Alligator mississippiensis: one gene and its partner. The protein of the gene in region 1 interacts with the protein of each later gene in a biochemical or structural test. Links are inferred from orthologs where the notes say so. Each region holds a gene or a part of one and is shown in the gene's direction. Other genes may lie near its edges. The genes, in order: ZBTB16 and HBEGF.

What was found.
Region 2: the proteins of ZBTB16 (region 1) and HBEGF form a complex in vitro, tested with the Homo sapiens proteins (2 studies listed by BioGRID). The link is inferred for Alligator mississippiensis from reciprocal best matches to the Homo sapiens genes ZBTB16 and HBEGF.

Annotation. Positions count from the first base shown.
Region 1 is NC_081839.1:33,136,048-33,151,122, reverse strand, and holds the start of ZBTB16 (zinc finger and BTB domain-containing protein 16), read left to right. Parts: upstream 1-7,156; 5' UTR 7,157-7,527; coding exon 7,528-8,774; intron 8,775-15,075. UniProt on the Homo sapiens protein: Acts as a transcriptional repressor. Transcriptional repression may be mediated through recruitment of histone deacetylases to target promoters. May play a role in myeloid maturation and in the development and/or maintenance of other differentiated tissues.
Region 2 is NC_081832.1:42,998,977-43,013,570, forward strand, and holds the start of HBEGF (proheparin-binding EGF-like growth factor), read left to right. Parts: upstream 1-6,986; 5' UTR 6,987-7,342; coding exon 7,343-7,385; intron 7,386-7,867; coding exon 7,868-8,050; intron 8,051-13,226; coding exon 13,227-13,404; intron 13,405-14,594. UniProt on the Homo sapiens protein: Growth factor that mediates its effects via EGFR, ERBB2 and ERBB4. Required for normal cardiac valve formation and normal heart function. Promotes smooth muscle cell proliferation. May be involved in macrophage-mediated cellular proliferation.

The DNA of each region.
Region 1 (15,075 bases):
TGAAACAGTGAGCATCTGCTTCGCTGGAAAATCCAGGCCATCTCCAGCATCCCCAGCCGGGCCCCCAAAGCCCTGCTGGCTTTTCGATCTCTTGGCCATTGTGCTCCTAATCCCCAAAGAGTTAACGGCCCTGATCCTGCAGAAATGCAGCCATGCACACAATCCCGCTGAGTGCAATGGGGTGGGTCAGGTTCTTGGGGCAACTTCCATGATCGAGTGTTTTCAGTATCAGGGTCCAAACACGGGAGGAACTTTGCTTACGTTGGTTGCCTTCTCTCATTCATGTGAGCGAGGATTGGCAAGACTGTCCTTGCTTGAAATGTGGTGCAATGAGTTAAAAAGTAAAAACTGAGGGGCCAGGGAGCACAGAGGAAGGACAAGGATTACTGCAACAGGCCCATGCAGTTACTCCATTGGGCGTGCACTCATCTAGCCAATCCCCTTCAGGCTGGTACACTCAAATATCCCCCTTTCCCTGGAGCCTTAGAAATCCCCCGTGGTTATGGGAGCTGAGGTGCAGTTTTGCTGCAGTAACAACATACGGTCTTTATTTTAGCGTGGATCCGGATTACAGGGCAGTGATAGGAACACAGCGGCTTGCAGAATGGATGCGTCTGAGCTGCCCACTTCCTATCTTACCCATTCTCCCAAACCAGTTGTAGCCTCCCAGTTGCTTTCAGGTTCCCTCTGTAGTACAAGCAAGTGCTCCCAGAAAGACTCCTGCATTCGGCTGCTACCTGTCTGGCCCTGGTATCTGAACAGCTCAGGTGACACTCATCCTAATCAATGGATTTTACACTCAAGCTTACTATACTGCAGTTGTACCCCAAGTGAGCAGCTTGCCCAAGCCCCTGCAGTGTTCTTCTGCCCTGTCTTCTACAGTTGGGTGTGTTTTGTGAAATACAGTCTAACACATTTTATCATGTTTTCGTAAGCTGTCAGCCTGTCTTCCGTGTGAAAGTAGAGCCGTGAATTATGCTCTGATCTCTGAGCAAACCTAACACACTGCAAACTCCTCGCTCACTAAATACAGGCACTGTCATGTGGATGTTGCTGAGTTAGGCTGGTGGCTCCAAGAACTACATCTGAACAATTCTGCAAAATCAGGGCCCACGATAGCAAAGGTAAATCACCCCAAGAGAGTTTGCCCGGCCATTGGGTACTATCACAAAATTAGCATGTCACAAATGAGATTGAATCAGACTTGTTTACCCACCATACTTTTATTAAAGGCAGCCTTACTGGTTTCTATTAACTGGGTATTTTTCATTTAGAAGTGTTTTAGAGACTAATATCCAAGAATGAATTCACTCAGTGCTACAATGCAGCCACCTCTGGGGTGAGAAGCAGCAGCAATTCTAGGAAAGAGGGGTGGAGGAGAAGAGAAGGTATGTGTGGGACAGAGGGCATGGCACCTGTGTGCAACCTGGCATGGAAGGGTATGTCTACACGTGCATTAAGGCACGTGCTTTAAACTTAGTACCTCCAATGAGTTTCTCCCTGGCTAGAGGGAGGAGCACAGCAGCTTGCCCAGAGTGCATTGATTGGCAGGTAACCGAGCTGGGTCAGCTGGAAGAAATTAATGATTTCCTCCCATTCTTATACCAGGGTTGGTTTGGGGGAAATGTTGCTAGTGAAAAATCAAGATATCTGGGAGGAAGTGAAAGGGTGCAGGCTGGGTCTGGGCTGCCTCTGTGATCTCTGCTTTGCAGACTGGAACCTGGTTATACTTGGCACTTGGCTGGTGACATGTTCCCTACTGTTACTTGTTCATCTTACTGTGGGACTTGCTGCCCCAAGACTCCCAATTCAATGTTTCCCTGTTGGTCCTGGCTTTTGCTGCTCAGGTCCTTAATTCTGTGCCTTTGAAGAATCTGAATGTTGGCAGACTGCTCTTGGGGGATGGATGAGTTGTTGAGTCATGTAGTTCACTTGTTAGCATGTGCAGAATGATGCTTTTTGCTCTTCAAAGTGTGCTACGTTGTGGTTTCCATGGGTTAAATGCTGAGAGAGAGAGAGGGTCTCCACTTGCTAGCTTGGGAGACATGGATGGCCTATGCTGTCCTCTTTGAAGAGGTGCTCCCCTTATCCTGATCTGCCATATCCCCTTGGAACAGGGGGAACAATTTCTCTTCCTTACTGTCCCCTTCAAATGCTTGTGGAGCATGCTGGGTTGGGAAGATCTTCAGCTTGGGGTGCTTTCCTGTGTGCCAAACCCTCCCCATGCTGTCAGCACTAAACAAGCTAATCATAATTTCCTCCCTAACTCAAGTTCCTGTGCACAGCCAAAATAAATAACTCTGCACTGGTAACAGTAGTAGTTGTGAAACATTCCCCTGGGTATCCCAGGAGTATGCATCTCAGAAGACATATATATATATAAGTTACATGTATATGTGATTATAAAGGACTAGCAAAATCCTGGAAGTTTAATGCTAAAGGTTAATAATAATCACAGTAGGCAGCACATCATTGCCTCTGTATCTGGTTGAGAGATTTACAACTTAAACTCATGGCAGAGGAAGAAATTGCCTCAATCACTTGGAGTAATGGCACATGGAGAGCCACTTGGGCGTGACTGCTACTTAACATGAGAAGCCCAGCCTGGCTTCATTTAATGTGCTGGTTCTTTTCTAATAAACACGTTGCTCTACAAGGTGAGGATTAAGTTCAAAAAAGTAAATAAATTGGAAACTGATGGGGAGAGATCAGAGTGCAGTGGCATATGCCAGAAGGAAAGGCTAGTTCTTGCCATATAAAGCGATTAACTCCTTTGTTGGGCTGGTCTCAAAGCTCAGAAATAAACCCTAAAGCCAAGGATAGCATTTGCTGGGTGTTATTTTTCAGAGATGGGCAGCCACAAAGCCAACCATCTATCCACTTAGGCACAGACTGGCAGTGCTGTTGCATCTGCCTTACTGGGGGGGGGGGGGGGGGGGTGCTGCCTGCTGGGCACTGAAGAAGGTCATAAGAAGGTCTTCATGTGATGCAATGTGATGTGATGCACCTGTTGTCATCCTACTCTTCAAAGACCTGCTGAAGTTGCAGGCACTGGTTGGATTTCCTCCACCTGAGATGATTGGCACTCCCCACACCTGGAGGAGTAGTTTCACAAAGAGCTGCTCCTTTGATCAGTAGATCTGTGGCATTTTTTTCCAGCAGCATTTGCTTGGGTTCTGCTACAACTTGCTCCTTGCAAGACTCCTGGGCCATAACCCCAGACCTCTGAAGTTTAGTGCAATTCATAAAAAAACAAAAATGTGCAGAGCGAATTGCATGAGCTCTGCTGTTAAAAGAGGACTAAGCCTGCACAGGGATGTCTGGATATAACTTCTCCAAGGCACTCCCCAGGTGATGCCCTCTAAACCTGGTGGATTCTCATTCTTCCCTTCCCATTGGCATCAAGGCACCCAGCTAACACTCAAATGGTTTTTTCATTTATGCTATCAGACCGTCCAAGGCTCCTGCTCTTATTCGAATCAACTTTTTAAAGCTAATTCTGGAAGACCTTAGAGCTGGGTGGGAGGGGGACTCTTCTTTGGAGCTGTATTTGCTATCTTAATACTTCCTGTGCATGTTGTGTGCATGACCTCAAGAGGAGACAATGGGTTCCACGTCATGGGCTAGAGGTTTTTTTGGATCTTCCTATTTTATGCCCCTTGGAATGGCTGTGCCTTTTGCTTCCTCTGTGGCTATTGATCTCCAAGGGATGTCAGCTATGAAATTCTGTGTGCATGCGGTGGAGGATATCAATTTTGAAGGAAGTCTAAAGGCAGATTTCCTACTGGTACGACTATTTCTGAGGGGGGGACTCCATTGTTCCTTGCATTGTCAAGCAACAGATGTTTCTGAGCAGCTTGTTACAACAAAGCTAATGTAACTGTAAATATTTGCTTTGTCTATATTTTTAGTGCTATCTATGGTTTGGACCAATAAGTGGTTTCTTTAGATCACACATGCACGGAAGGAAATGTTTGCAGTGAAATACAGTAACTCTTGTGATGACTCATGGTGCGGTGTGGATATGTGTGGGGTAAGGTATGGAGAAGCAGGGGTGTGTAGAAGAAAGCAGAAACAAGTGGACCTGAGGGAGTGCTGGATCAAAGTGTGCTGCTGAGCTGCCCCAATCCAAAGGGGTCTCCACAAACGGCACCTGTGGAAATGAAACTCCAGCTGAATGGAGTCTGCACAAGAAGGCAATGCACAAAGCAGGCATGGTTATTTGTATGGCAGCCGTGCTTGATGCTCTACCCAGGAGCTGGGCCCTGGGGTGATAGGCTCTTGTACACACACAGAGTAGGAGATTCTCCCTAAACCAAAAAGTTCACAAGTGAGATAGAAAAGATGGAAAAAGGGTGTGTGTGGGTGGGGGGTGAATGAAGGCAGCATGACTCATCTAGTCTTAATGTCAGGGGCCTGTGTGCCTGCATGGTGCCTCTCTCGTCAGCCCCTGCAGAGAAGCCAAGGACTGCAGGCCAGAGGAACCCGGCTCCGGTCTCACCCCTTGGTAAGATTGCTCCTGCTGGGCAAGGCTAAGCCTCCCTTTTTAGGAGCCAGATCTAGTGGGCACTTGGGTTGTGAGCTTTTGGTGAGTAGTGGGAGGAGGGTCATCTTTTTGTTCTGCAGGGCTGTGCTCTCCTTGCTCCTGCTGCAATAGCAACTATCAGGAAAAAGGCATTTGAATAACTAGCGCAGCCTGTGTGATTAGTATCTGAGTACCGCCATGTGCGTACACACATGATTTCAGGATTGGGACCTCCGATTGCAAGCTTGGGGTAGAGACCAGATCGTTTCTATTACAGCACATGGTACGATTCACCGATTACTTAATGCAGTCTTGAAGAGCCACTGTAATGAAGTGTAAGTCACAGTTTGTGTTTGGGGGAGAACTTGAATATCCTTTTGCCTGCGCTATGCCTATTCTGTGAATAAATGTAGGATTTCTGGCGTGCAGGGTCAAAGTAGCTGTAGGAAGCAACTCTGTTTAAAAGTTGAACAAGTCAGTAATTTTACACTCTCTATATTTATTTTATTTTATTTTTAAAGTGAAATGCACCAATTCACAGGAAGGACTGGGGGTTAATTTTCAGTGTGCTGCCTGGGAATTTAGCTGTGGGATTTCCATTATTGCTAATGGGATTCATGCAGCTTAATTTCATGCAAGCTACACTAAAAATGTACCCCTAACCGTCTGCAGAATTTCGGTTCTGAAATCCAACCTCTTCAGTTAGAGCGGGGTAAACAAACACCTGAAAGCACATAATTGTCTGCCTGTTTTTTTCCTGAATCACTTTTGATTTAAGGTGTGGAGGGGAAGCCTCTGATTTAAGCAATCTTTAAAAAAAAAAAAGAAAAAAAGGAAGAGGAGATGTGTATTCATGCTGATAGACAGCATGCTGAATTTCAGCTTGCTGCCAATTAAAACGGCAGAGTTATAACCCCTGAAAAATGGGGTGTAGTTGATGCCTTATCCTTAAGTATAGCACTGTGAATGCTACACTATAATACTTACCGGATAAACTAAGCCCTGTTGTCTTGCAGTATAAAGGCCTCTGTTATTAGGCTGCTCCTGTTAAATGACTGCTATCATTTGGTCCCGAAGTACATTAAATCCCATTATAATTATAAACACACTTCCCTATAACATTCTCTTTAGATTACATGCACACGGCTTTACCCCTAAGGGTATCTTTGTACTAATACCATTCTTATTTGTTGTTTTAGCTGTGGCAATATCGGGTCCTGCAGGACCGGGAATAGGCAAAGGGGAGGGGAAAAAATCTGCCAAATGATTGAGCTGTGCTGCCTGGCTTCTCCGAGAAACGGCACAGCTTAAAAGGGGCTGAACTTGGGCGCAGGGCTGCCCCGGGCCACTTGAGAAGGACGAAATGTTGCACGGTCTCCCTTCTGTAAGAGGCTGGGCAGTAAAGCGGGCGGGCGGGCGGGCGCTCCCACGCGGGTCACCTGCACCAAGCGGCCGCTTCCCCGGCCGTGCACGCGGCTCGGCGGAGGCTCAACAAGTGGAGGCGGCCGGGAAGCTCCGGGAGCAGGTGCCGGCGGGGCCGGGGCGGGGCGGGGCGGGGCGCATCCCCCGCGGCAGCCGCCGGCTCCTCCATGTTTGTTGTTGGCAGAGGCCGGCCGGGCGAAGCGCTGTCCAGCAGCCCGGGGCTCCGCTCCGCGTCCTCCCTCCCCACCGCATCCATCCACACCGCCCGCTCCGCTCCCGACTAGCCGGCACATGTTCGTGCACACCCCACAGCACAGCACAGCCTGCTCCGCTCCGCTCCGCTGCATCCGAGTGCAGACCACCCCCCCCAATCCGCTTCAACCGGGTCCGGTGCAGACCCCCCAGCCCAGCCCGCTCCGGTGCATCTGAGTGTAGACCACCCCCCCAATCCGCTTCAATCGGGTCCGGTGCAGACCCCCCAGCCCAGCCCGCTCCGGTGCATCCGAGTGTAGACCACCCCCCCAATCCGCTTCAACCGGGTCCGGTGCAGACCCCCCAGCCCAGCCCGCTCCGCTCCGGTGCATCCGAGTGCAGCCCACCCCCCTGCTCCGGTCCAATCGGGTCCGGTGCAGACCCCCCAGCCCAGCCCGCTCCGCTCCGGTGCAGCCGAGTGCAGCCCACCAGCCCAGCCCAGCCCGGTGCGGTCCAAACTAGTCCGGTGCATTTTAGTTTACACCACCCATCCCATCCCATCCCACCCCGCTGCGGTGCAGACCCCCCACCCCGCCCCGGTCCGGTACAGACTAGTGCGGTGCATTATAGTCCAGCCCGATCCAATCCAATCCGGACGAGCCCCGCGCGTTGTAGTTTAGATTCCCCCCCCCCCCCATCCCGGCCCGGTGCATCCTAGTGCGGACTACCCATCCCGGTGCGGTCCAGACGAGCGCGGTGCATTTTAGCGCAACCCGGACTATCCCCCCCCCCCCCCCCCACTCCCAAATCGCGGTGCGGTGCGTGTCGGGCGGGAGCCGGGCGAGCGCGGGTGTCCGGCAGCTAGGTGTCAGGCCAGGCTCGCAGGCGCGCGGCGGGAGCGCGGGGCGGAGCGGCAGCGGGACGGGGCGGCGCCGGCAGCCGCGCCCGGGCGGGCGGGCGGGCGGGCGGGAGGTGGCTGCGGCCGCGCCGTGCCGTGCCGTGCCGGTGCGGTGCGGGCGAGCGGGCGGGATCGCTCGGGGGCGCGAGCCCGGCGCCAGCAGTCAAGATGGAGCCGGGCCGAGGCTTCGTCGGGGGGGAGCGGCCCTGACGCGGGTGCAGCAGCGTCAGTGATTTGCTGGCCCGCGAGCACAGCGGCGCCGGGGAGGATGAGAGCGGGCACTGCGAACTGCCCGCGCCCGCCGCTGCTCCGGCGCTGAGCCCGCAACTTCCCCGCACCTGGGCGCTGCCAAACTTGGAGCCCGCCCGGATCCTAACGGGCTCCTTCCTCTCTCTCTCTCTCTCTCTCTGTCTGTGTCTCTCTGTCCCTGCCCCGCTTCCCCAGGCAGCCCGGGGGAAAGACACCCTCATGACTGATCCTCCGGAGCACCATGGATCTGACTAAGATGGGCACGATCCAGCTGCAGAACCCCAGCCACCCCACGGGGCTGCTGCACAAAGCCAACCAGATGCGGCTGGCGGGGACCCTGTGCGACGTGGTCATCATGGTGGACAACCAGGAGTTCCACGCCCACCGCACCGTGCTGGCTTGCACCAGCAAGATGTTCGAGATCCTCTTCCACCGCAACAGCCAGCATTACACCCTGGACTTCCTTTCGCCAAAGACTTTCCAGCAGATCCTGGAGTACGCCTACACCGCCACCCTCCAGGCCAAAGTGGAGGACCTGGACGACCTGCTGTACGCGGCGGAGATCCTCGAGATCGAGTACCTGGAGGAGCAGTGTCTGAAGATCCTGGAGACCATCCAGGCCTCCGACGACAACGACACAGAAGTCGGCGTGGCGGACGGCGGCGCCGAGGAGGAGGAGGATCGGAAATCCAGGTACATCAAGAACCTGTTCATCTCCAAGCATTCCAGCGAAGAGAGCGGCTACGCCAGCCTGGCCGGCCACAGCTTGACGGGGGTGATGGTGGAGCAGAGCCCGTCCGTCTCCACGTCGTTTGGGCTCTCCGCCATGAGCCCCACCAAGGCGGCCGTGGATAGTTTGATGACCATCGGACAGTCGTTGCTGCAAGGGGCTTTGCAGCACAACCCCTCCGAGGACTTGCACTTGGTCGGCGGCCGCCACCCCAGCCTCTCCGAAGTGAAAACAGAAGCGATGCAAATTGAGGAAGCCTCCAGCCACGAAAGCCCCCGGACGGCGGAGTCCAGCACTTCTGGCGGGGACAAGCCCGACGACAAGAGCAAGGACGGGCCCGGGACCCCGACCCGTAGCAGCGTTATCACAAGTGCCCGTGAACTTCACTATGTCCGCGACGAGAACGCGGAGCAGCCCCCCGAGGCGGGCCAGGGAGCGCCGCTCGGAGGGGAGCAGTCGGTTTCTCAGAGCGAGAAGCCCCTGAGCGTCTATTCTGTGCTACCAAATCACAAAACTGACTCTGTGCTCGGCGTGCCGCCCTCCATGACTTCTGCCCTGCACGTGCAGCCGGCTCTCGCCGTGTCCATGGACTTCAGTGCTTACGGGGGCCTTCTGCCCCAAGGCTTTATCCAGAGGGAACTGTTCAGCAAGCTCGGCGAGCTGGCAGCCGGCATGAAAACTGAGAGCCGAGCCGTCGGGGAACAGTGCAGCGTGTGCGGGGCAGAGCTGCCGGACAACGAGACGGTCGAGCAACACAGGTGAGTCTTCCCGCTACGTCCTTCTCAATGTGCCATCGGGTCTCTCCTCACGTCCTGTCACGATTGGCAATTTTCTCTTTTTTTTCCCCCCCAGTTTCTGTTGCACAATCCACAGGGCTTTTTGTGGGGGAGGAAGGGGGTTGTTTTGTGTTTGTGAGTGAATTTTGTGCTGGAGGGTTGCGGCCTGTGTCATGGAAGACAGATCCCCCGTGGACGCGATTCACCCTTGTGCAGAGAGGGCTGGTGCAAAACCTGTGTGTCGTGTTGTTCCCTGCTACGGTTGTCAAACATGGGACTGTGTGCGCTGCCCGGGCATTTTGCTGGCCCTCTCTACTGCACCGTATGTTTGCAACAGGCAACGATTTGGCAGTGGCACCGCGTGTTAGGCAGGGAATGGCCTGACAAAGGATTGTGATGTTGCTCATTTGCTGAGAGTTGGTCCAAGCTCCCCACTAGCTTCCCAGGCTGATGCTGCCTGGGAGTGTGGCTAGTGCTGTCTCATGCCAAATCCGAATTTGCCCCAGGTATCTATCTCCTTCCCAATTCTAGCGCCTGCTTCTTTAAGCAGATGGGAAGCGTGCCTGTGTGGTCAGACACTCAGCGATCTGTCTGCTTGCTGTCCTAGGGACTTAGTCTGGGCATCTGACTGCAGATTGGGGTGTGTGCATGTGTGCGCGCACTATTATTTTTGGGTGAGACCTCTGTGGCTCTTTGCATCTTGCTTAGTTGGCTTTGGGATGTTTCTTGCTGTGCCTCCTGGATCTGTGCTCTGATTCTAGGCCAGTCTGCTGCTGCTCCTCTCCCCGGGAGCAACCTCTCTGGCAATGTTTAATCTCCAGGCTCTGGACTGAACGCCACAGAGCCCAGCTCTGAGTCCAGCCACACTGGAGTAAGGTCAGAGGGCGTGTGCTGAACTTAGTGGAGTTCCCTTTAGGTTCAGGCCCATTTTGAAGGAGGTCAGAGTTTCACCTTTGCTTGAGTTTTGACTCGTGGGTGTGGTCTGGGGGTTTCTCCGGAGCCAGTTGGGGCCCAGTCAAGTGCATTCATCTGCCCGGAGAAACGCTGGAGCTTGCTGTGCTGACTTAAGTGGGGCCTGCTGGGGCAGTAAAGAGGTCTGATTGTGAACATCCATCTGCGGGGTCAGGGCTTCGCCTGCCGGGAGCAGCAAGAACGGGGACCCCAGCTGAATTTGGGTGCAGTAATCACAGACCAGTCGGCCTTAGGCTACACTGCGAATGCAAGCCTTTATGCCTTCTGTACTCCAGGGAAAGCATGGCACGCTCGGTAACAGGGATGCTGTAGCCACACAGTTCATGGGGGGGTGGGCATGGAAATGGGTTCAAGGAGCTTGCCCAGTAGGACATCAGAGGAAGAAGGCCAGTTTGGGCTCCAGTTCCTGGAATTCAAATGAAGAACACAGGAAATCCTGGGAGCATCTCTGGAGTATTCAAACTGAACATCTTTCAGTATTTTAATGAACCAACAAGTTTAATTAGTTCTAACGTACATAATATCCACACGAGGCTCTGCCTGTGTGTATATTGTTGCCTTGCTGATGGGGCAGGAGAACCGCTCTGCCCCTGGCTCTTGTTGTTGTGTTTAGATCTTGCCCTCGGTAAATGAGGCAGGATTTATCCGCAGCTCATGTGGGGCCTCCGAACAACAATCCTCTATTCAACCTGTTACATTTTAAGTGCAGACTGGCAGCCTTGACTCTGGGGTTTGCATCCTTGTGCGGGCTTGCGAGACATTTCTAACATAACATCTTAGTGTGGCTTGTGATTTTAATATGCAAGCGTGTGCTGTAATACACGCGGCACTTAAGCAAATAGGTGGGAGTACTGGCCCGGGTACTGAGAGGACACAGACAGAACTTCCTGAAGAATCGATGGGAATTGTACTTCTGTTCTCCTACAAAAAATCAAAAGAATAAGTGCCTCAGACCAGATCCTCAGCGGGTGTAAGCAGGAGCTCAAGCGCTGCTGACTTGCATCAGCTGAGGGTCTGGCATTGTTTGCTTGCTATAAAATGATGCAGGCTGGACACCATTGACCGGGAGCTGAGATGAAGGCGCAGGGAGAATTTTAACGTGGCGGTCTGCCGTGCTCTCAAACACTGCCTCTTCTCCCTTCTGAAACACAAAGACTAACAATTGATGCTCCTGCCCACACCACAGGAACTATTTTAGAAACTCTGCAAGAGGACAACTTGGCAGGGATTAAATTGGGAACTTTAATGCAGAGCCTGTTCTAGAGTTCCCATTGCTGATCAATAGCCTTCCGTCCGAGCCAGGGCTCAGCGGAAAGTTAAACCCACCCGAATTCACACAGATGATTAGGAGGCCCTTTGTGAATGACTGCATGTTATGAATAAGAGGGCACATATTTTGAACCAGCTTTCTGCATGGTGAGATGGGCTTTATTCCATTTAGACAGCAGTTGCTAGGGTTGCAGCCTTTATTTTTAAATTATTTATATTTGCAATGCACTCCAGTATGTTATGTACAATAATGAGGTCTCGGGTCTAGCCTAAGCTCCAAGTTGAGCAACTTAAACAATGTCGTTTTTAAGCGAACCGAGTTAAATGGATACCAAAGCTCATGCGAATGTTCTTAATTTGATTTCAACTTTGTTCATACCTGCTAGGCTGCATTGGTTCATTTATCGGTGCAAGCTAAATGCATATACACAATCTTCAGCCAGCTTGGGCACACTTCACTAAATAACTTGAACCCATACTTCTAAACCAGTGCATCAGGTGTGTAGACATGTTGCCATGAGACCTTGCTATAATCTTTGCTGCCAAAGAAATGGGGAAATATTGGTATTTTGCACAGGGGTTATTTAGGCAGCTATTGCGTAGCATCCCCAGTGAGAATTTTGCCACCTGTCATCTGTCCCTGGAAGCGGATTAACCAGTGGTGGCAAGACTGGAAGTTTCTTTGTGCAGGGCTGAGGTTTCTTACCACCGAGCTCATCTCGCTGTGATCAGAGCAGGCTTAGCAGGATCAATCTCTAAAACACCTGCTCACTTACTGGACTGGAAGAAGATGGCAGCTTCTGGTTTTTCTAGGGCTAGCAACTCTCCTTGTGCTAATGGCAGCTCTCCCAGTGATTTGGGATCGGCTTCAGAGCCGACTTAGTCTGAGGAAGTCATCTCGCTGAAGGGCAGAGGTCCACCAAAGTCGCTGGCACAGCATTCAAGATTTGCTGCTCCTTTTCCTTGAAGTAAATGGGATGCTTGCTATTGACTGCTCAATGGGAGCAAGGGATGTCTCGTGGGGAGTAGGGCTTGTCGGTGCTGAAGTGGCTGCAGTACAGCGGTTTGCTCCCTGCTTGCAGCACTTGCATGTGTTTTGGTTTTGTTTTCTAAACTTGATGCGAACACCGAGATGTCAAATGCAGGTTCATTTTTAGCTTGGGCAGGAGCTCTAAATAAATGTCAGTGGCTTCTTCCGTTCCCTCCCACCACCTCTTTGGTGGGGCGTCTTTCCTCCCAGCTCTGTTTTGGACAGGGCCTCACCTTGAGCGTGAAGGGGTCGTCTGCATCGTTTTTGGTTAGCGAGTATTTCCGTCTGCCCCTGCTGCGTTTGTGAATCGGAACTGAGGTCGTTTAGGTGGTCAAGAAAGCACCTCGCTGCGTGTGGCAGGAGCAGCTACGCTTGGGGATGACAATGTCTGTTTGGGGAGAATTACTTTGCTTTTGGTTTTGCAGGCTATGGATGGCCTGATCGCCAAATAGTATGGTCAGGATTGCTGTCGAGATGTTGCTAGTCGGCTGCTGCTGGGAACTAGTAGGATTTTGAGGTTTGTAACACGGTTTAAAGAGAATAACATGGGTGCAAAGCAAAACTCACCCTGGCTGACTTTCATTTTTTTAATTTATATGAGGAAAACACTTTAAAGGCCTTCTCCAGATCATGCCCCCACTATGATGGGTACTGGACAAACACACAGTAAAAAGCAGCCCTGACTTGGGACGGTTCACAACTGAGTCGCCCAGACAGATAAAGAAAAAGTAAGTGTTGTGAGCTTGATTTTTTTTTTAATTTGTTGTTTTTTATTTTACTACGAGAAACAAGGCACAGAAGGAGCAACTTGCTCAAGGTCAGATCAAGGCTGTGGGGGGTTGAATGCCAATCTGAGACCCCGCTTAATGACTGAGTCACAACGGCCATCCTTGGTCTCCTGATGTAGTCATCGTAAGATATTTCATGTTATGGTTGACTCAAAACCAACTCATTTCGGAGCTACATTAGTACAGGCCTCTCTGTTTACTTGGGTCCTGGTTTGGAGTCCCGGCGGAAGTACCAGGCTTGGGAACTTATAGGCTGCTTTAAGATCTGTTTGGGTTTTTTTTTTCTTCTTCACTGATCTTATGATTTTGACTAATTGAGTGTGTATTGAGTTGTGGCTCTTTATTCTTTTTTTTATAAAAGATTTCCTTCTAGGTTCAGTAAAGTTCAAACTTAATCTAATGTTGGTATTGATTGTAGCTTCTAATTGCAGGGGGAAAAAAGCTAGAGTTCAACATTTTTTTTTTTTTTTATTTGGACTGGGGAGAAAACACTCATGAATTTTGAAAACACTGTTATCCTAAACTGCTGAAATGAACTCCTTTTTAAATTTTTTATCACAAAACCAAACCATTTAAAACTTGTTCTTCTTAGCAGCTTGATTTTTTTTGTATTTTAAATTGCATTTCTTTAAGCAGTGGGGTAATACAGGTGTAGCTTGGATCTATCACCTTGATTATTTGAGAAGTATTCCCTTCCCACCTTTGTGTCTTGTTTTTGGAGGTTGCATGCTTTTTTTTCTCCTTCCCCCAGTCTCCCATTTTGCAAACATTTAAGCACGTGTTTAACCTGTCAGTTAGATAGGACTGCTCAGGTACAGGGGGTCAGAGGGGGGATGGGGCTTATTTGATTGTTACCCAACAAAACAAGACCCTGATCGTTACCGGGAATCTTGACGATTAAGTTATTATAGTATTTTATGCACGTTGTGGTGTTGTGGAGCTCTTTGTGTGAAGGAGTGCTGTGAACACCAGCATGTTATAACTACATCCTCATGAGGCTAGGGAGGAGGGAAGCCAGATGGGCTATTCCAAATGCTAGGCTTCCTTTTAATACCCTGAAAATAGACCACATACATCTCATTATCTGGATGCCCGTGGAAAGTAAGAACAAGCTGGGAAGTCCCCTCTGAGGGGGGAAGAAAAACCCACGTCTGAATTTTGGAAGACCTAGAAGATTTCATGCTTGAGCTACCGCCCAAAAGCCATGTGGCTGGTGGATTAAGCCCAGGGCTGGGAGCCAGGAGGCCTTGAGCTTTTTTTTTTCCCCTCACGTTTGCTGAAGAGTGGCCTAAATAATACCTGGCACTTCAACGGGGAAATCCTAGCATCCCCTTCTCTTGGGTCTGGGAAACTGAGGCACAGAGACGTTCCAAATGACTTCGGTGGAGAAATGGGAGCATGGCAATGGGGTCATCTGCAGCTGCATTGACTATTTAATGGTTCAGATGAATGCCAGTCTTCCTGGTAGAAGAAAGTCGCTTATTTTGGTGCCCCTGGAAGCCACTTTCATTGATGATATCTTTTGAATGCCAAAGTCAGCGTGAGAAAAGGGTGAGGATGTGGCCGGGCAGTCGACCTCCCGTCTCCCCAGTGTGACATGTCTCCAGTTAGTGCTTGGGATCCCAGTCCCTTCTGACTTCTGGTGATATGGTAGAGGTGGTATCTCTCTACGATGCCTGCCTTAGTTTTTGGATAGGTCTGTGCCCCATTTGGTGAAGATGATATACATTTTGGGGCACTGGTTTCACAGCGGAAATGCTGAGTTTTGTGGTGAGTCCTCTGAAAGAAAGAGTCATTAATGTAACTTTTAAAGGAGCTGAGCATTTTTGCAAGTATTAAGAAGTCAGCTCCAGAGCTGAGTTCTTGCTTGCTGTGTGACTGCTTTTCCAGACTTGTTTCGGTGTATTTAATAATGGACTGGCTTTGATTGTAAACTCACTGTGGCAAGGACCACCTTTCCATTTGGTTTGTGCAACTTTGAGTACAACGTGCTCCAGAGCTACAACCGTACAATTTAATAACCCCGTTTCTTCCTTTTATTTCCTCTGCTTCCATAAAACAACTTTGGTTAAGGATGTACGTACCATTTATTATGCCTGGCAACTCTCTTGCCATTTAGCTTGTTGATCTATAGCTTTCATGGAGTTGAAACCTTATATTGTAGCATATCTTAAGTAGCCGTTTAGGAAAGTGTAACTGCATTTGGCTGTTCCTTTGCCAACCT
Region 2 (14,594 bases), on another chromosome or scaffold:
ACAACCCTGCCCCCCGCTGCAATTACAGTAACAGAAAGGAATTCACACAAAGGTATTTCTACTTTTTCCAGCGTGTTTACTTTATGTATTTGAGAGCACATTGTGTACAGCCAGTTTCACTAGTTTCTTTCCACGGTCAATTTTTTAGCCAGGTTCCCCTACTGTTGATAGAGAATTTTTCACACAGTAACAGAAAAGAAAAGCATACTTTAAAATATAGACAAATGTGCTTGTAAAACACTTGAAATTGGCATGGGGACCTGGGGACAGGATTTGCACCTGAAACCACTTTTACTTCACTGGAGTGTTTGCCTAAAACAACACCCAAGCAAGTGCTAATCTTACACTGAGCCAGTCTCAGAAGCCGATCAACTTGGAGCTGACCCTATTTCCATGTAATACACAATCAGAAAAAGATGTCTCTTTGATACAGCACTTCCATAAGACATCCTGATGAAAAGGGTTAAGTAAATTCTGCTGTCTCACTGGGGCAGGTGGTTCTTTACCATGGGCAGGCATAAAAGAAGTCTCTGAGGGAGAGTTTTTAGCAGATGGGCCAAACAGCCCTCAGAAAGAAATCCAAGGAGAAACCCAATGATAGGAGAAACTGGGCTGCACTATGCCAAGTTCTTGCTAACGTTGATGATAAGAATGCTCATGATAAGAAAGCCAAAGCCCAGGAGAGGGGTGGAGTGCTGTGCACTCATGTAAGCATGTGGGGCCTGCTTTAGAGCAAGCCGGGAAAGGCACCTGCTCTAACTGACTGATGGCTGGGAAGTGGTTATTGAAGACCTGCTGCAGTGAGGAAATGGAAGAGACAGTGAAGTGACTGATGGAGCAGCGGCAGGAGACTGTGGATTTACAGGCATGCCACTTCCAAGTTCCCTTCCAGTTCCATCAGTTTCAATTCTAGTTTGTTGCCTTGGCAGGCTGGCAGCAAGCACCAGCCCTGCCTTATTCACAAGGGGACTGAAGAAGATCCTGAGGTCTACTCAGACACCTTTGAGCAGAAAGGAGTCATCCAGGGCTGTCCACCCAGCTTCTCTGTTAGCAGCAGATGCATAGTTTGCAATTTGCATCTCATGCCCTGGGCAAGGATCCTGCCATTGACTGTGAGGCCAGCTATGCTAGAGGAGTGCCAGAGATCAGAGGAAAGATCCCTGTAGCACTTATGAAAGGGGCTCCTCTCCCAGTGGATATAGTTGAGCATCTGCACCCATACACAGACAAACTAAGAAATGTGGTAGCTCAAGTCAGAATCTGGGATATTGGGAAAACTAATAATAGGCTTGACTTCACTAGCCATCTAAACCAGTGCTTCTCAAAGTGGCGGTCCACAGACCGCTGCTGATCCGTGAGCCACCGGTCGCTGGTCCGCAGCCAGTTGCCAGTTGCCAGGAAAGAAAGAAATATATTCACCGGTCCGCAGCGAGTTGCCAGGAAAGAAAGAAATATATTTTCAGAAGCATAACATTGATATGTCATAGCACCACAGTTCATACGTTCCAACACTCCAGGTGACGTCACGTCATGCGAGGTGAGGAAAGAGAAAGAAACAGCCGGTCATGCATTTGTGTAGCGCTGTGTACATGCAGTTGCTGCCACCGGCTGAACTGGGCACCGGTACCTGGCCCACTGGAAAAAAAATTGCCAGTCCACCACATCAGATAGTTTGAGAAGTACTGATCCAAACTGCACCCTCCTTCCCTGCTGTTTAAAATGGTATAGGTGATCCCTCTCTTGTCCACATCCCCACAATGGAAGACAACAAGCACACACTGCCTTCCACATGACCTTGATTGGCTGTTCCTGCCCCCAACCACCTCCCCCCTGCCCCTTTTTGGAGGAGGGAAACTGAGGAAGGCAACCAGTCAAAGCTTCTGGGTGAAACTTGAAATTGCTTTTGATAAGATTACCTCCAGCAGTCACCAAAATCCAACTGTGATGTAATCATGGGATTTGGCAACACTTACAACATGAGAGATACCACGGAAATGAAACCTAATTAATTGAGAGGGGGAAAATTTTTTGTTCAAACTTAAAAACTCTATGCATCTTTTTTAACTCCAATACTCCAACGCTGAAGACTGAACACCTAAGCCCTTCAGTGAAGGGCTGAGAAATCTCAGAGTTTATTTATGAGACCACTATCGAGTCCTACAAAAAAATCACAAAAGACAAGACTATCTTCTGATATTTTTTAATTTTTAACAGAAATTAAATTTTAAAACTTCTGAATCTTTTTTATATTTTCTGAAGAACAGAACATGGCATCAATTCAATTATAAATCCTTTGAATGATATAACTTGTTATGTGATCCACAGTGTGCACTTTATCTAATGCACACTAAATTTAGTACCTCTAAAGTAAGGTACTAAATAAATGTGCAATAGGCTGCCCTACTGCGCAGTATTGAAAGCACATGCTTTTTTAGTGATGATTAATGTGCAGTAGCCTATTTTTACTGCACATTAACATGGTTTTTGACATGGTGCTTTAATGCGCAGGAAAATAGGCTACTGAACATTAAAACACATATGTAGACATGCCCAGTGACTACATGCTCCAAGAATTTCATAGACTGGAAAAATGACCAGGCAAAAGGTCTCCTTGGCAAAATAATATATCCTCTTTCCTATCTCGCTTAACTCATCCTCTTGCTATGCAGTATGCCAGGTAAGTCATGCAAAGCACACCTCCCACACTGCCCCTGTATCAGATGCCCCACTGGCTGTTCAGTGGAATATGGCAGGAAACTCAAGTAGAGGAGAACCCAGTGCAGAAAGTTACGTAACAGGGAAATAAACAGTGCAGTCTTCTGGGCAATCATCAGTGCTTTGTTGTTGAACTAGAAGCCTGTTCAGCACAGCTGGAATTGTAATATTATGATGAAACAGTTTTGTCCACGTTATTAGTCCCAGCTGCCAAATTCTATAAGAGATGATGATGGCTGGAGGAAACAAAAGGAACAGAAGCCAACACATAATTACAACAGTCAAGTTCAGGCAAGAATTGGGGTGTGAACTGGGGCTGCCAAACCCAGCTAATATCTCTTAGAGACAACAACAACAATCACAGGAATTTTTAATCATGCTGTTAATGCACCTTTCTGAACTGAAACTGGCATCAAGACTTTGGACCTAGGAGTTCAAGGTAACAGAAGGAACAGTCAAAGGAGGACTGACATCCAGATGATATTCAGAGCAGCACAGAGCAACTCTGCTTTGTTGACATTTAGTTTCATTAGTAAACTCAGATGTGTAAATGCAGCTGAGCAGAAGCAGTGAAAAGACAAAACTTGGAATGGAATCCAGGAAACAAGGCTGGATGTCATATTGTGAGGTGATGCTGTGGATCACCCTGTGCAGAGGAGTCTACTTCCAGGAACTGAAATAACTACAGGTGTTACATCCCTTGGTGAGAAGAATAGCCATCATTTCTCACTATAGCAGTTGCCCCAGCTTTTAGGACTTGAATTATTTTCTAAACTGATGCAAGCACCATAATGCCCTGATAATGCCAGGCTTTAGATGTAGCCACCCAATTCCCACCCCTGTAAGATCAATGAGGTCAGGAATGATGTGCCCCTAGCATCATGGACACCTAGTACTCAGAGGCAAATGCCAGTTAAAGCTCTATGCCTAGTTTTTAAGCAAGTTTAAAAGTGATTGGGTGACTTCCTGTGAGTAAAATGCCAACTGCACCCTTCACATATATATTGCAAAGAGGTCTTAGAGCAGAGGAGACCGAAGGCCAGGGAAGAACCCTCTGCTGACATAGGACCTCTGCTCCATCCTCTTACAGGCCAGTCTAGGAAATGTGACTAATACCAGCAAGGGATACTTCTGTAACATTCAGTGCTATGGGAATCCTGGCCTCTCATTAAGTAACAGCCTTCTATTAAAATTATATCTAAGACTGGTTGGACCCTCACAGAAGCTCAGGTTCTGGGCTCTGCCCAGCTCCCTGAGCTATCTATGCCTTCTGCCCATGCCTCTTTGGAAATTCAACAAAGAATCCATCTCTAAAAACATTTCATTTAACATTACAAGAAAAAGACACATGATGAAAAAATGTTCATGGGAAAGAAGGGAGACCTGAGTGGATCAGATCCTGAGGAAGAGGTAAGAACCTCACCATAGGTAGATGTGTGCTTCTCGCATCATTTCTCATCTGGATTACAAATGGCAAGAGATGGGTTTAAGCTGTGAAGCAGGGGGTTTTACCTTCCAGGCAATGCTCTTCTTGAGCTTCTTACATTTGCCAAGTTGCTCCTCTATTTGTCCCAAAACAAAAATGTCCCAGGATTGGCAAATACATACATTACCCATCTAATCAGGGTTTAGTGAAGAGTTGAAATACATTGCCACTTACTGCAATCCTGGGACAACTGTTCAGATACACTTTGTGATAGCCTAGGATAAATTGTTAGCACTTTTTATCTCATGACCATTTTAAAGATTTAGGACATTGGGCATGGATGTTTGAACAACTGCAATTTGTCCCAGGGTTAAAATGCAACATCTGTTTGTAGCCTTGGTAGCATTATAGTTCTGGATGTCCTTGTTATTCTTACAAGCATCCAATCCCTCTTTGAGTCTTACTATGTTTTGGCAAGGATTTCCACCACCTGATTATGTCATAAATAAGAAAGGGTTTCCTTTTATTGGCTTTGAACTTGCCACTTTTTAGTTTCATGGACTCTCCATGTCCTTGTTTATGAGACTGATCAGGAGCTTTCCATTTCTCTGTCTTTTCTAGATCATTTATTATTTGGTATACTTTTTTCAGAGTTCCTCTTGTTTGTTTATTCTATGGAAAACCCAATTCTTTGCAATTCATCTTCCTTTGAGAAATTTTCCAAGCTCCTAACCATTCTCATTGCTCTTTTTAAAACACTTTCTAATTTTTCAACATCTTTTGAAGATGAGGTAACTAGACTGCCCATGGATTTATACACCATGGATTTATATGGAGATCTGACATTGTCCTCTTTATCATTCTCCACCCTATTTCTTATGCAACTTAACATTTTGTTTTTGCCTGGCATCTGTACATTGCCCCTGCTTAGAGCCTCCCTATCTTCAGTGAGAGACATCCTGCAGCTCTGCTGAAGGAATCATTATGATTATCCATACAATTAATCTGAAAAACCATTAACAATATTTTACCTTGTTAGTATCTTCTCACACAAGAATTTCAGAGCAGTTTACTGAGGTTAACAATTTAAATTAGACAACAATCTTTTGAAGTGGATAAGGTATCTAGTTAAACAATATGTTAATTTATTTTACCCACCAGTGAAATGCATTCACTCTAAGGTAGAATATAGCAGCTGTTTAAACATTCTCAAAAATAATACACAACAAGATGGTCCTGGTTATCCATTCTCTGCACTCATCTACTTATTTGCATTGCTGGAAAGTGAGTGTAAGGTGAATATAAAGGACTGAACACAGGGTAGTGGTAAACCAGGCCCAGCTTCTAACTGAAACTGCAGGGAGAATTTTACATAAGTAGGCTGTATAAATGAAGAAGTTGGTATCTGGCCAGGATGACAGGGTTAATGCTATTTCTTTCCTAAAAGAAACCAGGAGATCTCCTTATGTTCTTATACTATACCCAGCTAATCTGACCCAGATAATGTGCAGCTGATCACCCAGATATTAAGAGCCAGAGCACCAGAGAAGCTCTTGTGACCAGAAGTGAGCAGGGTCCTGTTTTTTATGTAACATATGAAAGGCAGTGCCTACAGCAGTCCCACATCACAAAGCCACATAATGGTCAAAACTGACCTTGAAAGAAGGCTGTAGCTGCTTCCTGACCCATCACTACCACCAGCAGCACTAAGACATCCAAGGAATTCTCCTGCCTGCCGACTGTAGAACAGTGTTTCCCAACCGTTTCCAGCCCAAGGCACTCTTGCATTAATAAAATTTTTCCACAGCACACCTGTTATGGCATTCCCCATCCTCATACCTATTGAAGTCCTTGGCCATGGTAAAATTCCGTGGCACACTTGTTCATTGCTGACAGCACACTTTTGTGCTGCTGCACACTGGTTGAGAAACACTGGTATACAACATGGTGAAGGGCATCGTCTCCCTCCTTCCCCTCCTTTGCCTCAGGTCATTCTCTTAAAGGACCCTGTGGATTTAACACCTTCTGGGTTGTCTCTAAAGTGGCCTGGCTACCTCCTGCTGCCATCTGGGAAACCTGGTGCCAAGTCAGAGCTCAGATCCGGCAGTACTGTTCTTTCCTCCTGCTCTGGCCCCTCCTAATGAGAGACTGCTGTCCCAGCCGCACACATTGCATCAGCTCTTGGCAAAGCGCATTTCTGCTGGGTGGGAGTGCTGATCCCTGGCAGGGCATCTGTTCCACTGGATGGGACGAGGACTGTGGAGAAATTTTTTCCCCTTTTTTTTATATTGGAGGCCAAATTAGCCAAAACTAATTCCAAATCCAAGAGTCCAGAACTGTAAGTGGCCCTACTACCAGCAAACATCCTCCACCCCCATCTGGGGCTTCAGATGTTTCCAAAACCACTGGTGCACATCCTGCATACAGGCCCAAGCCTGCAGGCTTGGGGTTGGATGCCCCTGGATTGTGCTTGCCCTCAGCCCTAAGGCCCTTGGAGCAAGCAAGGGAGGAGATTCCCATTTCCATAAATTGGGTTTAAAGCCACTGCACCTCTCCAGAAGAGCAGTTCCCCTGCAAAGTGGTTCAGGAAAACTGCCTTCTTGGACATGCATACATGGTATTTCCCCAGCCAGGCTGATCTGAGCCTTCAAATGGTCCGGGCAGGACGTGGGGCCTGAGAGCGGCTGTGCCGTGCCCCCAGCCTCGGAGAGAGGCGCCTGGGCACTTCCCTATAGGACGGGCCAACCTCAAGGGCTGACCACTGGGCTCCGAAGGGGCCCTCATGGGAAACCTCCTCCGTCGGGCTGAAGCCCGGCCCAGGCCGCCCGGCGGGAGCGGCACTAACCCCCGCCCCACTCGCGCCGGGCGGGCGTGCCCGGATGGCAGCGCCCCCGCGGCCTGGCCCCACCCACGCCGCGCCGCGCCGCGCCCCGCAGCCTCTACCCCGGCGCCGGCGCGGCCCGGCCGAGATCGGGCTGCAGCTCAGAGCAGCACGTGGGTGTGGGCGCCCGGCAGCGCAGCAAGAGGAGCCGCCTGGCAGCACCGGCCGCGGGCAGCGAGGAGGGCTACAGCGGTCGGAGAGGCAGCCGCGCCCGCCCCGCCGCCTCCGGCACCGCAGCGCCGCGCAGCTCTTTCGCGCAGAAAGTTTGCGGCGGCCGCGGGGAGCCGCGCTCCTGCCTCGGGCCGGGGAGAGGAGGCGACATGAGGGGGCTGCTGGTCGCTGCCAACCTGCTCCTGGCGGCAGGTAGGGATCGGGGTCTCGCTCCGGGCGGCCCCCGTGGGCTGCGCCGCGAGCCGGGTGGGCTGGGGGGAACGAGCGCCCGCAGGGCAGCGCCGGGGCTGGGAGCGAGGGAGGCGCTGGTGTGTGATTGCGGGAGGCTGTCGTGTGTGCAGCTCCCCTACGCTGTCAGCTCGCCCCTGGTCGCCGTGGCTATAAACAGCTGCCCTCCACCCCTGCCCCCTAGCAGAGTCCTAGACACTGAGGGTTGGAAGGAACTCCAGGAGGTCATCTAGTCTGACCCCCTGCTCAAAGCAGGACCAGCCCCAACTAGATCATCCCTGCCAAGGCTTTGTCTAGCTGGGTCTTAAACTTACAACCTTGTTGGGTGGCCTGTTCCAGCGCTGACAAGCATTTGAGAGAGTGCCCCCCACCTCCCAAGTGCCAGCTCTGCCGTGGCTTTCACTGTGACATCGCAGCTTGACGGGTTTGCCTGTTTGTCCCAGCAGCCTACTCAGGATTTGTGAATGGAGAAGGGACCGACGTGACTGAAAATGAAGTTTACCATGAAAGAAACAGCGGGCGTGTGGGGACTGTCCAGCTCTTCCAGACCAGGGCAGGCTCCGAGTATGAAGAAGAGAGGGACAGAGAGGTTACTTCCTCCGGGGATTATTTTATTGAGCTCCCAAGAGGTATGTGTCGTCGTCCCTCCCACCCCCAACACATTTCAGGGATATGCTGTGCTGCATTAACTGTGTCTGTGGGAAGGGGAAAGAAATGAACAGAGCAGGTTGTTAAAAGGAAGGAGTTTTCACTCTTTGGTACTGGAGTCACCTGGAAGTGAATGAGTTACCCAGGGATTTCTTTACTAGCAGTCTACTGGAGTAAGAGTCCCAGAGCAGTGTGGCATGCTCCCACAACTAGTGAGGTAAATTCTGCTCTCAATTAACTTTGTGTCATAGCCATGATTCAACAATTGCTCTGATTCAGCAAAGTACCTGAGCAAATGCTGAAGTTCCATTGACTTCATTCAAAACACGCTTTTAAAATTAAACAGGATACTTTATTCAATAGGCATTGATTTAAGTATGTGCTTAAATGCTTTCTTGATTTGGGACTTCATACCTGGGGCTACTTGTGGGGTGCTGAGCAGGGTATGACTAGCAGATGGATGGATGAGGAAAAAGTTTCTGTAATCAAAGTGAACTCTCAGCCTTTGTCTGGAAGTAGAGGACAGCTAAAGGCAGAAACACCATTGCAAGAGAACAGGACAGATAGTGAGAGCCAAAGGGGCTTTTCTGTCTTTGACTTACATATGCTAAGCCCTGAGCCATGAGAGAAGGAATATTTGGGGGGGGAAAGAGATGCGGGCAGAGAGCCAGGCCAGGCCAGAGTGTTCCCACAGAAATTCCTGGCTCGTGTGCTTTGTGTCACAGTTCAGTTTTTTTTTAGTAGTTCTATGTTTGTGCTTCTTTGCCTTCTGTTACCGTGAAGTCCCCTGTGCTCAGACCCAGGGCTGCATTCTTATGACCCCCAAATCCCGACAGACATGCTTCTTGTTCCCCCGAGTCCCTGGTAACACTTCTTAGATCCAGCACTCTGTTCTCTACTTGGGACGTTCATTTTTGTAATGCTTAATGGAGTGCTATCTCCAAAGTGGAGAAGGGGAAACTGCAGTTAAAGGGTTTGTATAACAGCACAGTTATTGTAGTAACATACTCTTTCTCTCTCTGGGAAAATCCTGTAATATTTAATGACATCAAGAGGAGATGGAAATAGCTCTATAAACCTATACCATTTAATATTGGAGATTCTTTCCATCACCCTACAGCAGTCTTTTCTGGGCCTAGGTTTTCTTATTCAGTTCTGTAGGTTGGTCCCAGAAAATGTACAGGTTTCCCTCACTTTTTGCGGGTTCTGTATGTGTGAATTCACTCATATGCAATGACCCTTTTTATACCAAAAATTCATTATATGCACAGTAAATTCACTCTTATGTGATTGGTGTGGTGGAAGCCCGCAGTCAGCTGCTTTGTGTGGTGCATTGTGGGAGTGATGCGCACCAAAATATAGTCCCCTGTGTGGATCTGTGCTTCTCACTTGTCTCTGATACACATTTCTGTAGTTGCCATCCCCATTATGATAGTGCCCTGTGCTTGTGTGTCCTGTCTGCTGTTGGTGAGTACTAAAATTGTCTTGTAAAAGTGGTAGAAATGGGTCTGGGGGCCAGTACAGTCGAGGTCTTGGAACATATCTCTATTACTTGCATTGTAAAGTTGGTTCCCTTTATGCACATTTGAGTTATGTGCGGTTTTCCAGGAATGCATGTACAGCATAAAGTGAGGGAAACCTGTATATGAAATTTTATCACACTCCTTGATATCCTGCAGGGCTCTGTCTTGTGGGTTAATCCAGTGGGATGGTTTGTTTCCCAGCCCTATCAGTAATAGTCACTGCTTTGTCGAGGAGGGAAATTGCCTGTGACTCACTGCTCACCACCCACACATTGCTACCCTTCACACCTAGCTGGGAAATGCCACTACACTGTCCCTTCTGCAGAGGTGCTTGGTTCAGGATTTGCTCTCTTGTGCTCTCTGTCCATTTATGTCTGGTTTCTCTTACCGGGGTTTGGGCCAAAGAATGTCCCATTGAATAGTGCAGGAGGCTAGGCTTTAGCTTGATTGTGACCAGGATTTGACACGCAGACAAATTCAGACCTGGTGTTAACAGCATAACTTCACTGAGGTCACCAGGTTTACGCCAGCATATGCCAATGCTGACTGGACCAGAGATCAATGTTTCGTACTCTAGTCTTTCCTCATTTTTTGTTCCCCTTCCTGTCTTGCCTCTGTTCCTGTCATTTTCTGACGTACACTGTCTAGCTTTACAGCAGCAGGATGAGCTATTGCATCTAAAGGGAGTCAGTTCTGGGGAAATTTGCCTCCATCTCTTTCTGTGCTTTCCATTAAACAATCTTTCGCTTCCTTTCTTGTCCCTATCAGAATCTCTCCTCATCACTGCTCCTCCCAGTTCTCTCCACCTCACTTTGATCCCATATCCCTTCCATTTCTCCACAGATATTTCTGCCCTCTACAAATGGGGCAGATCATTCTTCCCTTCCAATAGGAATCAGTGAGCTTTTGGAAGGGTGAAAAGCATCCACACAGGTGCATGAGTTGATGGGCCCAGAATCTTTCTGGGTTGAATAGAAAGAACAGGAAGTAGCTCTGGGGAGTCAAAGGCCCCCATTACACATTACACTTATGCTGTGATTTAATGTATTCATTGCAGCATAATTGACAAGGGTGTTGTACGTGCACAGTCTGAGGCATCATAAAATGGCAGATCCGCCATAAAATTGTTCCACATATAATGTAGACAATTTTATGGCTGCTTTGTATGATGCTTTACACTGAACATGTAGCTGAGCCAACAATCACTGATTCTTGCTTGGGGCTGGGGACTGCACTAGGATCCAGAATGAGCCCCAGTGCAGTCCCAAGCCCACGCTGACAATCAGCTGATTGTCATCCCTGGCTGCATCCCTGTGGGCACCCAGTTTTCAACTTGCCAGTGCAGGGGGAGCCTGGAATCATAATCTCAGGCTTCCCCTGCACTGACAAGTAGGACATGATAGGGATCTGATCTTCAATCCCAAAGTCATGCCTCCTGCTACACACATGTGGCATGACAGGAAATGGAGTTGGGACTGGGGATTAAATCCAGTGGTGCATCTAAGTGAATCTTTGTTGGGGGCCAGAGTCACCAATTCTTGCTGCCTCTGCACTGTCTAGGGCAGTGTTTATACAAGTGAAAGCTTATAGTGCCCAGGGGCAATCATGGGTAGTTCCAAGGGGTTGAATTTTATTATATGAAGCAAAGGAAATCTGGCTTCTCTAGTTCTTGCCCACTCTCCTATCCATGACTTAGTACCCTCTGTCAGCCTCAAAATCCACACAAATGGGATGGGGTTATTGTTATTATTGAAATGCTTCACTCTAACTTGCATGGTAAATATAAGGGGCTGTGCCAACTTTGCCCTTGGAGTGAGGGCTTTCTACTATGAAATGGATGATAAATAATGCTTTTCTCTGGGTTGGGAACCCCTTCTGCTTTGTGCTCTTTAGGAGTGCCGCATGTCTCCTTCCAGTCCCTGTCAGGTCTAGAGCCTCTAGCTGCTCTGTCAATCTTGCCAGTGGAGGGGAAGAGTGTCTGAGCTATTCCAAGGAACTGAAGTCAGGAACATCCTCTCTGCCCTCACTTCTTATGCCCCTGCTCATCCATACCCTTCCCACTTGCTATTCCTATCAGCCCATTCCTGATGCTTGCTGGCCTGAATGCAGTAATGGTCTTATCAGATAACTTCTCCCAAATAAACACCAGTGGTGTTACCTTTGTTCCTCTGATCTCATGACAGAGGGACACAAGCACAAAGATCTAGGAGTGGGTGGCAGCTGGGGAGCCAGTTTGGAGGAGAGTAAGCAGCCCAGTGTGGTTCTGCATGTCTTTTCCTGGCCCCTGTGATAGCATGTTCCTGTGAGCACTGCCCTGTACTGCTAGTCACAATGCCTGCAGCAGAGAGATAAACCAAAGGGACCCCTAACTGGAAACAGGAAATTCTTGTACATAATATTTTGGTTGTCTTTTCTTGGTTCTTAACTAAATTATAACACTAAAAGCTCCTGCACTGCTGAGAGTGGCTCCTTCCCCCATTTCTCTGAACGTGGTGCCTTCTAAAGCTGTAAAATAGGATAAGGACGGAAACAAGGGCTGCAGTCCATGGGACCAAGGGCAGCACTGGGGGAATCTAAAAGTATTCTTCAGTTGTATTTAAGCCTCATGGCTTTGTTTCTCTGTGTGCCCAAACTTTGTAGTGCCTGAAAGTTCAGATGTATTGACCTTAGGGGTGTTACTTGAAGAATGAAGCACTGTTCCAAGTGAGTGAGGGCATTAGAATCTGGCCCTTAATGATCAGCATTGCTGAATGTCCTATGTTTTCTGGAGTTGTTCCAGTTTCACTGCAAAACTGAAAACTAACGTGATGTTTGGATGCCCGGTGGTTCCTTAGCTGCCTTATGAACACCACAGTAGGGAAAGAAACCATGAGGAAGTGACAAAGTAGCATATATTCCCACTGAATTTACTTGGGGGGTGAGCAGACTCAGAATTTTGCGTGATCGAGTAATTAGCTTTTTGTCTTACCCAGTTTAGAAACCCAGTCAAGTTTCACCTTGCAAGGTGTCCCTAATGAGCATCCAGAAAGCTCCAGTTAACATTTGCCAAATGAGCATGAGTTGGGTTTACTTAAATAAATTGCTTCCACTCAAATAAAAAAGTAACTACATATTTTGTAAGAACATTTCTGTTGATATCAGCTTGTTTTCAGAAACCCTAAATTGACCTCCTATTGCCCTTTTTAATACTGTTCTTGTCCTGTGTGCAAGCCATCATTGTAATCACAGGAAAATGAGGCCAATCAGGACCATGAATAGGCTCTTACAAAAGATCAGGCTGATCAGAGAAATTAAAGGCTAGATAAAGACACAATTACTAATCTTCTGTATTCAGTGGAAACCAGTGCATATAATAGCAACATTTCAGATAGATAAAGCCCTGTTTTAATTCCTGAATCTGCAGTAGCTTGTTCCTTTATTTCCTTCAGAATTTTTATGAATCAGAAATGCCATGATATTTGTTCAAATGTGCAAGAATGGAAAAATTTCTGCTTGGCGGCAGATCTCTGAACAAAAGTGCTCTGCTGGCACCAAAGTTGAATTACTTACAATAGGTCTAGGTTTCCTGCCCTCTTTCACTTTTAAGCAAGAAATTGAGGTGACGGATGTTTTTTCTTTTGAACTTGTTTTCCAGTTGCTTTCTTGTCAAAACCACAAGAGCTGGTTACTCCAAAGAAAAAAGGGAATGGTAAGAAAAGGAGAAAAGGCAAAGGCATGGGGAAGAAGAGAGATCCATGCCTACAAAAGTATAAGGACTTCTGTATTCATGGAGAATGCAAATACATCAAAGAGCTGGGAGCTCCATCCTGCATGTAAGTAGCAAAGAACCTCTGTCCTAGGGAAACCTTAGTCATTGTTCCTTGAATTCTCTAAACCACACAGAGGAAGAACGTAGGAGATATTTTTAGTTTGTCCTCTTGCTCTGTAGGATGCTATTCTGACTTCCTGGACTTTTTGTTTCTTGCGTTTTGCATCGCTTTGGTACACTTTAAGAAACCACAGACTGTTGTTGGTCTTGTTAAAGGCACATGTCCAGAAAAATGTCCCTTATGTCTCATACATCAACCTTCCATTGAAAACCCCAACACTATGGGTGCCAAACAAATTTAACTGACTTCTGTCTGAGCTCTGTGTTTAGCCTACAAGAACTTGGGATAACACAGTTTACCTTTTGTTGACTGAGACTGTTGCAAGCTATTCACATTCACATTCAAAAGTTATTTTGGAGCCTGTTGTCAAATACCTTTATCCTGACTCTCAGAAGACTGATGCTCATAACTTTTGTGAAGGTCTATAGAAGCTGAGATGTTCTGCTCTTTTGCAAATCGGGCCGCATGAGAACTCCAGTGGACTCGGGTCCCAATGGACTCAGTGTGCCTAAATGGCAGCTGAGCTCTCTTGAAATTTTGGTATAGATATCTCAAGCCAGGCACCCCCTAATGGAAATAACTAAAATATTTCTGAATGGAGCTACTGCTGTATCCACAGGCCTTCTAATTAATTCTTTCCTACAGTATATCATACAGGCAGTAGCTCTGGTTATGATTTGGGCAGGTGGTAGAGGAAAACAAAAAAAAAAGTTCATGAAGAATCACTGTGAACAGGGAAAAGCAGGAGGCTCTGCTTATGTGAAAAGATGGCCTTGGGAGTCTGACAACGGCACAGTTGCAGGGTATTGTTTCCTAACCAAGAAATTGCTCTTTAATGTCATCAAAGCACAGGAAACAAATATTCTTTTTCAGCATCATGCATATATCCTTTCTAATCTTGTGAAGTCTAGCAGAGAGATCCACTAGTCTGCATAATAGTTTCGCCAGAAAAATGGCAGGAGCTGAAAATAAAAGCCCTGAAGAATACACCATTGGGACTAATTCAGCATTGACTAATGGGAAGAGGACAGAATGCGGTAGAGTTGTTTTCATCTCTGACTTCTAGGATTCTGTTTGAGCCCTGTAAGTGAGCTACTCTGTCCTAGAGTCCCCAGTTGGTCCTGCTCCTCTAA